Drosophila melanogaster: one gene and its partner. Changing the gene in region 1 together with any one later gene gives a genetic interaction. Each region holds a gene or a part of one and is shown in the gene's direction. Other genes may lie near its edges.

Region 1 (5,307 bases):
ACCAGCGTGCAAAAAAATGAATTCAAGTGCAATTTAATAGGAGGAAAGATGCCAAGTTGTATTATGTATGCATGTAATTAGAATAATTTACTCAACTGATTTTTGCTTTTATTAATATACATTTTTAATGCTCTTGCAGTTGGAGCTCCTAGCACAAGGCTATCTTTGTCGCGAACTCTGCGAACTTCTGTGCCTTTGGCAGCTATACCGCCGTCTCAGCGGACTGATCACCAATGGCCCCAGGCCCCTCAGACCAACTACACTGTATATGAGGAGGAGGAGGAAGAGGAGCCAGTTCAAAGACGCCGCCCACAACAGCGTCCTTCGAGGCCGCGTCCACAACAGGCGCCGTCAAGACCACGGCTGCAACCCGTGCCTCAATTGCCACAAGAACCAGAGTTCCAGACGTCAGCCAGACCTTCAGTTCATCCGTCGAATACGCCCGCGCAAGCATCCAAGTTCTATCCCCAGACAATTGGTCAACTGAGCGGAATCTGTGGGCGTGAAAAGGTCATCCAGACACCCTTTATCCACAACGGAATTGAAGTGGAGCGGGGTCAGCTGCCCTGGATGGCCGCTCTTTTCGAGCACGTTGGCAGGGACTATAACTTTTTGTGCGGCGGAACGCTGATCTCGGCCAGAACAGTGATCTCGGCTGCCCACTGCTTCCGCTTTGGCAGTCGGAATTTGCCGGGCGAGCGGACTATTGTTTCGCTGGGGCGTAACTCCTTGGATCTTTTTTCGTCGGGAGCTACACTAGGTGTAGCGCGACTATTAATCCACGAACAGTACAATCCCAATGTATACACCGATGCGGATTTAGCACTGCTCCAGTTGTCTAATCACGTTGAGTAAGTACATTTATTGATTAATTTATTTTGTCAAATTGATTAACTTTTAAATCGTAACTACACTTAGTATTGGCGATTACATCAAGCCCATCTGTTTGTGGAACGAGAACTTTTTGCTCGAACTGCCCTCGGGTCACAAGTCCTATGTGGCTGGTTGGGGTGAGGATGAAAAGGGGAACCGAAACACGCGACTGGCCAAGATGACAGACACGGACATCATCACCCAGTGGGAATGTCGTGGAAATCTGTCCGAGGAGAACGCCAAGTTTATCACCTCGCACACGATCTGTGCCAGCAATGCCCAGGCGTCCGGTCCCTGCAGCGGAGATTCCGGTGGTGGACTGATGCTCCAGGAGCAGGACATCTGGATGCTGCGCGGCGTCGTCTCAGCCGGACAGCGAATGACCAACAGATGCAATCTGACGCTGCCTGTCATCTATACGGATGTGGCCAAGCACATCGAGTGGCTGCTCAGTAGCATGTGGTTTTGATAGGTTATACAAGAGATTAGTTGAATTAAGTGCCAAAATAAAAGATACAAAATTTTTTAAAAAAGTGACAGTTGCATTACCCCTATCCACACATAACTAAAGGGGTTAAAGTTGATTTTAATAGTATTTATATGGAGCTTTGGAGGTTTTTATCACTAAAGTAAGCAATTACCTAAGTTCACATTTTAAATGCCTATATTTGATAAATTTCTGAAATACTCATATAGAAAATCATATGTACAAAAAACTAACAAAACTTGTGGTCCCCACTTTATGTAAGGGTATCTCAATTGAAAGATTGCATCGGCCAGCAGATCTGCCAGCGGCGATTTGTCAAAGACAGCAATTGCATTCCATTTGCATGCAGTTGAGGCATTCACTCAGCCCAAATGACATCGCAACGTTGTTCCCAGTTTCGTAATGAGAACAAATAGAGGTGGCGGCCAAAGTCGCGTCGGAGTCGCTAGTGAAACGCTGGGAAAACGCGTCGTTGGAACAACAGGTGCTTTCCCTCAATACAGCTAACTCTCATGCTTATTTGCTCCAAGTCTCTCTCTTGCTCTGCGCAGCGCATATATTCCGCCTAGTGAGCGACATATCCTGTTGAATGGACTTCGCGGCTCCGGCGGAACTCGAAAGTTGTTGCATACTCTACGGCATTGGTCGTTCTCCGCCGTACTGATACCGTTAGTCGTGCGTATCCGGACAGTCGACGTTCAGCCTTCAGTTCGCACGGTTCGTCAAGCGGTGGCCCGCTGGAAAGATAGTGCCAGATAACACCAACCAACCCATATAATCGGACATAATTCCGAGTGCCGATCGAGAATTCTTGACGGGCGTACGTGTGTGTGTGTGTGTGCGAGAAGCGTGTGTCAGTTAAGTGTGTGCATACCACAAGCATATATATATTATATATATGGCATATTTATCAATCATTTAAGCAGTGACTTTAATGCTGTAATTTCGCCTGATTGATGGCTGGACATGACTCTGGGTCGCGTTCTCCGCGATGCCTGAATCTGAAACCCAGCGAGTTTCTCAGTTCGTCTGAACATGCTTCAATTGCCGCATTTAGTATCGAAGAAGTGTATTAGCAGAATGCTGCATTGCCGTAGTCGGGCAATTTATTGCCGTACCCGCAACTAAGAATCTCTCGCTGAAAAGAGGAAGCAACCATCCACCAACCATCCATTCATGTACACACCACACCCATTTGGTTTCCTAATCATCCTCGTTCCAATGACAAATGCAATGCGGGCGATTGCTGCAATCGCAGCAGGAGTGGGTTCAGTGGCCGCCACGGTCGCAACCAGCACCACCAGTTCCATCAGCAGCAGCACCACCATCATCAACACCAGTAGCGCCACTACCATCGGCGGGAATCACACCAGTGGGAGCACCGGATTCTCCACGAATTCCACGCTGCTGGACGCCGATCATCTGCCGCTGCAGCTCACGACCGCCAAGGTGGACCTGGACATTGAAATCGACATCCAACTGCTGACAAATGGCTACGATGGCACAACGGTGAGTTGCGGAAAAGGGCTGGAGAAGTGGGGAGTCCGGGCGGAAACGAGGCCCGGAGTGGGTCGATTGTATTTATGTGGCTGCCAACGAGGCATTCATTGGGCTTTGGCTTTGGATGCGGCCTTAGCTTTGGCTTTATGTCCAATGTGCAGCTCGTAAAATGCGCAGAACACGGGGGAAAAAAGTAGAATTATTAGAATTGTGCTTGGTTATTAAAAACGTGCAATCAATAATGTTATGTCCTATACAAAAAAGGATATTGCAATAACCATAGTATTACATGTCAAGCAATCAAATATTTGTGGCATTCAATTTGCAGTTCCACAATAATAGGAATGAATAAAAGGTGTTAAATAATAGATGTTATTCACAGGAACTATATATGTACATAGAAGAATCACGATTTTATTTTCAGTGTAGTCTCAGGTATCCATATCGCCACTATAATTTACAATGTCTTTGTCTCCGATCGGGTGTTGTAGGATATTGGCCTTCATGAGCTTTTCAGTTTTATTACGTGCTGGCATATTTCCCGAACATTGTAGTAGAGTTCCTCTAGGTGATTCGGTGGTTTATGGGGCGTATACGCAATCCGCTCGCAGATTGCTTAATGATTTGTCAAGACAAAAGGGGTGCAAAAAGTTATCCAATGAGGGAAGGATGGGTGATTATCACATGATTATCACACACATCCCGCACGCCTTCATAATATTTAATACAAAGTTTAAATTATAACAAAAGGTTGGCAGTTAGCAAAAGTTTTCTCTGTTCGCATTCCTTTTAATTTATATCACTTCTAGCCAACCAGCTGGTAAATGAAAATGAATGTGAGCCTCATTAGCAGCCAGCACATGGAGAAACTTTTGCTAGGATGCGAGTACACACCTCCATCGATGCATAATCCGGTTTTCAAAGGAACTCCGCCAAGGATGTATACCAAAACCAAAGTTTAACCCTTTTTTCACTCGTGTGTATTTTATTTTTCCTCCTCCTCTTTTTTTTTTTGTTTTTTGCTTTTTTTTTTGGGAGAACGAGCAATTTACGTGCTTGGTGTGGCAACAGTAAAGGATATGAGGCAACGCACGCAGACGAGGATGACATAGATATAGATCTAAATACTTGTTGTGTGGAACGGCAAAGTTGTGCTCATCTGTTCGCACGTTTAACTTTCAATCGAATGTAAATAATGAGTATCACGTAAGTTGGGTGGAGCAAGGACATTTATCGCCGCATCACGTTGTCATCATGTTCATGTGCCGCACATTTTCCACGTAAATAGGTTTTCAACTAATTTACAAACTGTTGAGAGGGCGTATTTACTACCCTGATTTACCGAACGCTAACTGGGTCAATTTAAGCTAATTGCCTGATGAAAAGTTCACATTTTTCCATTTACATTATGCATTTATACCGAGTGCACTTGGTTTTTTTTATAGACCAGACAACTTGAGACCAGTCTCAATTGATGTGAACTAACCACAGGTTGACACTGACATTTGTGCCCATCATCTGTCAGCAGAAAATTGTCTTTTGGGGCATAGTTATTCCGCACGCTTTTCTTTTCTCTGGCATTTGCATAATGCATCACGCATACGCCGCGTTGTGCATTCTAATTGAATTATTAATTTGCGCTCGTCGAATCTTGCCTGCATGCATAAAAAGCGGGTTTATGCTCGTACTTTTCATGAATAGTCCCCAAATCCCCATCCGCCGCATCACCTCCTTGAATCCATTGTGATTTCGCGTTCTTGGATGGGATTCCGCATTTTCTAGTCGCAAGGAAAAAACTTTGGCTTGCCATTGTTCGCAGGCTTTGCATAGCAATAATACTAAAATATTAATAGACTTATTTGTTATTGCCGCTGCCATGTGGATTGTGCTTTCCATTCAGCAAATCGCCTTCCTTTGTTATCCAAACGCAAATATATTCTTATATATATATATATATCCGAATCGAACCAGAGCCTCTGGAATTTGCGCAAATTTCCGCCGGCAATTTATCCAAATCAGTAGGCAGCAAGTGGGAGGGGCGTGGCCCGATTGCTATCGATAGGCTGGCCAATTGAAATCGAGCTTATTCGGTATAACTGTAATTGTTTGCTTTTGGCAACTCCACAATTTATTGGAGTGAAATAGTACGCTGTTTGAAAAACATCCTTAAGCCTAATTGCAACATTTTCCTTTGGGGTTTACATGGCCGAATTTGACACCAAAATAATTTTACTAAGCTAAAAATAATGAATAACATTTTCACAATAAAAATGTAACGTACCAACAATTTTGATTGACTTAAAAATATATATTTTAAATTATAAGTCGGACACATGCAATAATAAACTGTTTTATAAATAAAATTTTTATATGGCTTTGCATTAAGAAAGTCATACATATACATTTAAAGTTTTCTTAGAAACTTTGTTGCCAAAGTATTAAAGTTT
Region 2 (4,963 bases), on another chromosome or scaffold:
TGTTCTTTTGACACTGTCAACATTCTCCAACCCCATAATTTATTTGATCACGCTTTTCCGAGGCGATTGTTGACGGAAGCGCACGAATTGCCATTGCAAATTGCAATTGCACCTCGTAGACAAAAGCGAAATTCGCAATGTGGCAAACTTGAATTAGTTAAATGATGATCCCGCCGGGCAATCGATCGTAGAATGTTCGACGATCTTCGACCTTGGCGCCATTTTAAGCCTTAACTTCCAGGTTGTTAAGGATAAGCAGCATAAGCATCTGGCATCGATGCATTGATCATGCTTTCGCATTAATGAGGCAATAATTTAATTGATACTTTTCCAAAGCTACTGCAGCAAATCATTCTTTTGATAAAATGCTTACTATATTATGTATTAAGTCAGCACTGCTTTTCCTCAACACTCAAAGCTCGAATAACATGAGATTTAGTATTATTTTTAAATTTCAAAGAATCAAAACCAACGCATAACACTAGTTAGCTGATTTTCAAAATTTTATCCGGTCTTCAAAAGGTAGCCAGTCGCAGCCAGTCGATCAGGCCAATGATGATGCCTCAATTTGTGTTCTGGAGGAGGGATGCCAAAAAGACCCAGCTGGAGCAGATCTCGCCCATCTGGAGGGATTTGAATGCTACATTTGTGACGTAACACGCAGATAGGATCACTTTTACTTTATGTTACTATATACCATTTTTCATATAGGGTTCTCAGCTGGAGTTGGCTCATCTACGCACTTTCCGCACTGGTAATCATCACTTGTGCATATTTCGCTTATTGTGAGCGCTGCCGAAGAACTGAATCAGTGCGACGACGACGGGTGATTCAAAGAGCTCAAGAGCGGTATAATAGTTATGATTTAAATTTAACAGTTTGTGTTAATTTATCATTTATACACCATTTAAGACCGCCACAAAAGCGACGACCGAATGCGGCCTATCGGGATCACCAGATCTACCGCCACATCATCCTCAGCGTGGCCAAGTACATGAAGAATCCGGATGGTATTCGACCCTTTATAGAACACATGGAGCAGCTATATCCACTCAGGCATAACTTGGCCGATCAGCAGCAGGTGGCCGAACCAAGTGCTGGAGAAGATTAGTGATCAGGGAGGTAAAACCAAAAGATTTGAATCCAAAATTAATAGAATAAATACTGCGAAAATTAAATTTATTTTCATAAGTAGTCTTAAATGCAATGAAGTGCTCTCACTTATTTAATTTCCTATCTACTAATATTATTTCTTTAAAAAATAGCTTAGAGATGAGAACTTGGAGATAATAGATACCAATTGCAAACTAGAGTGGGAGCAACTAGATAAATTAATTAGTTTAACCAGGCTCATGCTTTTGGCCAACTAAAATTGGGTCATGCGCAGTGGGAGATTCTGGTTGGCGGTGCCTAAAAATATGCAGTGCTATTTTTACCTGCCACAAATATAAACAAACGCCATGTGCGTTTGCCGAGCTTTCAGCTGGCGAAAGCTTCGCTTTCTCTCGCTTCCTGTTGCTGCTTTTCCATTTCCATTTCCAGCCGCCCTCTCTCTCAGATCTCTCTCTCCCTCTCTATCGTGCGAGAGAGAGTTCGCCGAGTTGTCGGGGCGTTAGCAGAAGAGAAGAAAAGCGATGGAAAAACGGAAAACAGTTGCCAGTTAGACAGTGAGCGCGTCGCATCTACGCACGCATCGAAAAGATTCAGCGGCAGCAGCAGCAGCGCGTTCAGTGGTTGTTGTTGTTGGAAACGGTGGAAGCACACACACACAGCAGACACAACACCAACACACGCCCGCACACACACACACACACCAACACGCGGCCAGCAAACACACTTTTCGGCTGGCCTTAATTTTCATTGCATACCAATGCCAATCACAATCAAAAATGGAATATTTGAAAATTTGAAAATTCGAATGGCAAAGTGAATTCAATTAAATTGTGCAAATTACGAGCTTGAGGATAATTGAAAAATCAAGGCACACACCTGCGCACATGTGTCTGTGAGAGGGTCCTGTGTGTACTGGTATCTGTGTGAGAACGCCTTTGGCTGTATGTGTGTTGAAGGCTAAGCAGAAAATCAGCAGCCCACGGAAAAGCCAACAAGTAAAGCGAAAAAAATTAATGTTGCATGTGCCCCGAAAATCGGGAAATTGGAAATGGAAATTCAGTTAACCATAGCAAGAAAGTTCGACAGTGCAAAGTGACAAAGTTTGAAAGATATATTATTATCGCGACACCAAAGCCATAAATCGTGCCCCTTATAAATTATCTTATCTGAAAAGAAAATCCATTTAAATCAACACCACCTAATGCATGCATTAAAATATTATTTGATTGATTTATTAGTGAAAAATACACGGGCTGCTTAAAGTTCCTTTGAGGGCCACCGACTTGGTTAGATATATCTTAAGCCCACATTCATCTAGATATTTTACAGTTCTTGCCTGTTGCAGCCAAAGAGTTAGCAAACAAAGTGATAAAGACAAAGTGTTCAAGAAAAAATGTAATAAATACCCATTAAATATTATACAAGAAATCAACTTAATACTCAACCGATCAACTGGAAAAACTGAGCAATGTCAAGGCAAAGGTTCTCAACACGAGCAGTCTCAGGTGAGCAATTTTTCGGTGGCAGGGAGCATCAAGTCGAGCTTTGCTCCAGACGCATCCTACCTCAACACAAAAAAAAAGCGAAGATAGATGGGAAGAAACAGGGAGCGAGAGGGAACGCGAAAGAGCGAACCAAAACATAAACAACCCCGAAAAGAGCGAAACTCTAGAAGTAATGGTCGAAAGGAAAGTGCTGACACTTAAAAAAAAAGAAGAGAACTTTGAGAATTTTTAATTTTTTTTGATAATTTATTTAAGATAACATTAGACGTGTTTTTTTGACAATTACTTGGCTATAATGCACCTTTTTGCGAGTGTCTAATCTATATAGCTGTGTAGTAGACTATGGAGTGAAACAAGCTGTACCGTTAAAAAAAATTTAAATAGTCTAAAGACTTGAAATTTATATTGGGATATTTTTTTCGCAGTGCACTTGAACCTCCACTTCTCCTATCGGAAATGCTGTGCTGTTCTTCTCATATCCCTTATGCTCGGTCCTTCGGTGTTGATGTAGAGATACGAAAATAGGCAAAGTTTAGCACAAAAAAACGAAGAATTTCAGTTGGAAAGCTCAATGCAAAGAATGGCAGCATTCGTTGGGGATTAGCCAAAGCCAAAAGACTTTGTGCAAATACTGAAAAGCTCGGCCTGAGCGCATCATTTTCCACGCAAATTTCGTTTGCGAAAATTTCAATTTATGTGTGGCAAACAGGATTTGCAGTATATGTCTGCATATGTATGTATGTATCTGTAACTCGGTCACACGTTACACGCTTCTCCGTTTTTTTTTTTTCCCCACCATTTTATTGACTTTGTCGTTTTATAGGCAATTTGTCTTCTGGCAGCCGTCGATAGCTTTTGCTGTGTCATAAAATTACGCGCCAAGCGAATGCCCCGTATCCTTATTGGTATCCTTATCCTTATCGGCAAGGACCGGGTTTCGAGCTTGGACTCTTTCGCTGCCAAGTTGTTTATATTGTCGTAAATTTGCCTTCAAGGACGCGACAACACCGCACAGTCTGCCGCCTCCCACCGCCCCCTACCCGCTCACATGGCCATTTTATCGATCACACAATGGGAAATTTCACACGTTGTCCCAAAGGGCTGGAAAATGGGTTTGGAAACGTACAGTGGTCGCTCCTGGCTTTAATTAATTCGAATCACCAGGATATGGATAGACCCACTGCAACAAATTGGGGATATAATTACAGAGAACTGTATCTCCGCGTATAGATCATATAACGTATTAGAAATACATAAGTAAAAAATTACCATTCAATCTATATTTTAGATCTAAGAATCTTAAAGATACAATATCTTATTATTATTGGATACCTACACATTCGCTTTACGCAGAGAACACTGTGGCAACAGACCCGTTGTGTTGAGTTGCGTTTCGTTGCTCGTCTTTAATTACGTGCGCTGCAATTGGCAGCTTCAAGGTCGTTGCCGTCTTTTGCATAATTAAGGGTCACCCACCGCCGCCCAGCGTGCCACCCCCTTCTGACTCATTGGTGCACCCATCGCAAGTGGCTTTTGTTCTTGCAACACAGTTTCAGTTTCTGAATAATGCAATTGACGCGGTCGTGTAGGCGCTGACACAGTTGCCATTTTTCACACATGACCAGCCGGAAAACAGAAACCAGAAACCAGAGACCAGGCACAACTAACAACTGGCACCGTGCGACGTGCAACGTGCGACGAGCAGCATGCAACATTCGCCGCATGTCCGGCAAGCGAGTGCAATTTCCATAGCACACTTCAAGGCTGGCCGCTGTCTAATTTACATGGCAAATGACGCTGCTCTGGCTTTCTCCGCTTTCACTGCTTTCTCCGCTTTGCATTTATGACTCGTGACGTGCAATGGCGATTGTCCGCCAACCATTTTCTTCGCCGTTTTGTGTTTCGACACACGTATTCAATTAGCCCGATAAAGGAAGCAAAATGCCGCAGCTGCTGCTGCCCACACATTTGCATATGAAAGAAAGTCCGGGAAAATTCGAGGGTGCTGATGGTGCTTGTTGGCGGGAAATGTGAGCCGTTTTAGCCATGAAATAAAACGGTACCATCAACATTGGCAGCAAATTTTAATTGGACTCTAATTCGACTTTATCTTCGCAGATAAAATCCTTTTACCCAAAAATGATCTACTTAAAAATATTGCTTTTTGGAATTATATATTTTATTTATTGCTTTACTGTGAAGTATTCAAGTTTAAGTAATTAATATATCTTTTTCCAATCCGGTCTGCAAAGAATTTATTTGCACACATTTATATCTCTTTTGATTTATGACCACAACGTGTCGCGTATATGCCGTGTTTTTTATACATTTTGTGGAAGACACCA

Evidence for each region.
Region 2: of Dop1R1 (region 1) and DopEcR, changing one suppresses a phenotype caused by changing the other (phenotypic suppression), as found in Drosophila melanogaster (one study listed by BioGRID).

What each region holds. Positions count from the first base shown.
Region 1 is NT_033777.3:14,211,552-14,216,858, reverse strand, and holds the start of Dop1R1 (dopamine 1-like receptor 1), read left to right. Parts: upstream 1-2,048; 5' UTR 2,049-2,536; coding exon 2,537-2,869; intron 2,870-5,307. Other genes in the region: CG9649 (uncharacterized protein), read left to right, coding at 140-851, 919-1,342. UniProt on the Drosophila melanogaster protein: Receptor for dopamine. The activity of this receptor is mediated by G proteins which activate adenylyl cyclase. Might be involved in the processing of visual information and/or visual learning.
Region 2 is NT_037436.4:4,377,076-4,382,038, reverse strand, and holds the start of DopEcR (Dopamine/Ecdysteroid receptor), read left to right. Parts: upstream 1-1,651; 5' UTR 1,652-2,108; intron 2,109-2,439; exon of another isoform or gene 2,440-2,442; 5' UTR 2,443-2,618; intron 2,619-4,039; exon of another isoform or gene 4,040-4,671; intron 4,672-4,963. Other genes in the region: CG32240 (uncharacterized protein), read left to right, coding at 553-653, 712-849, 913-1,111.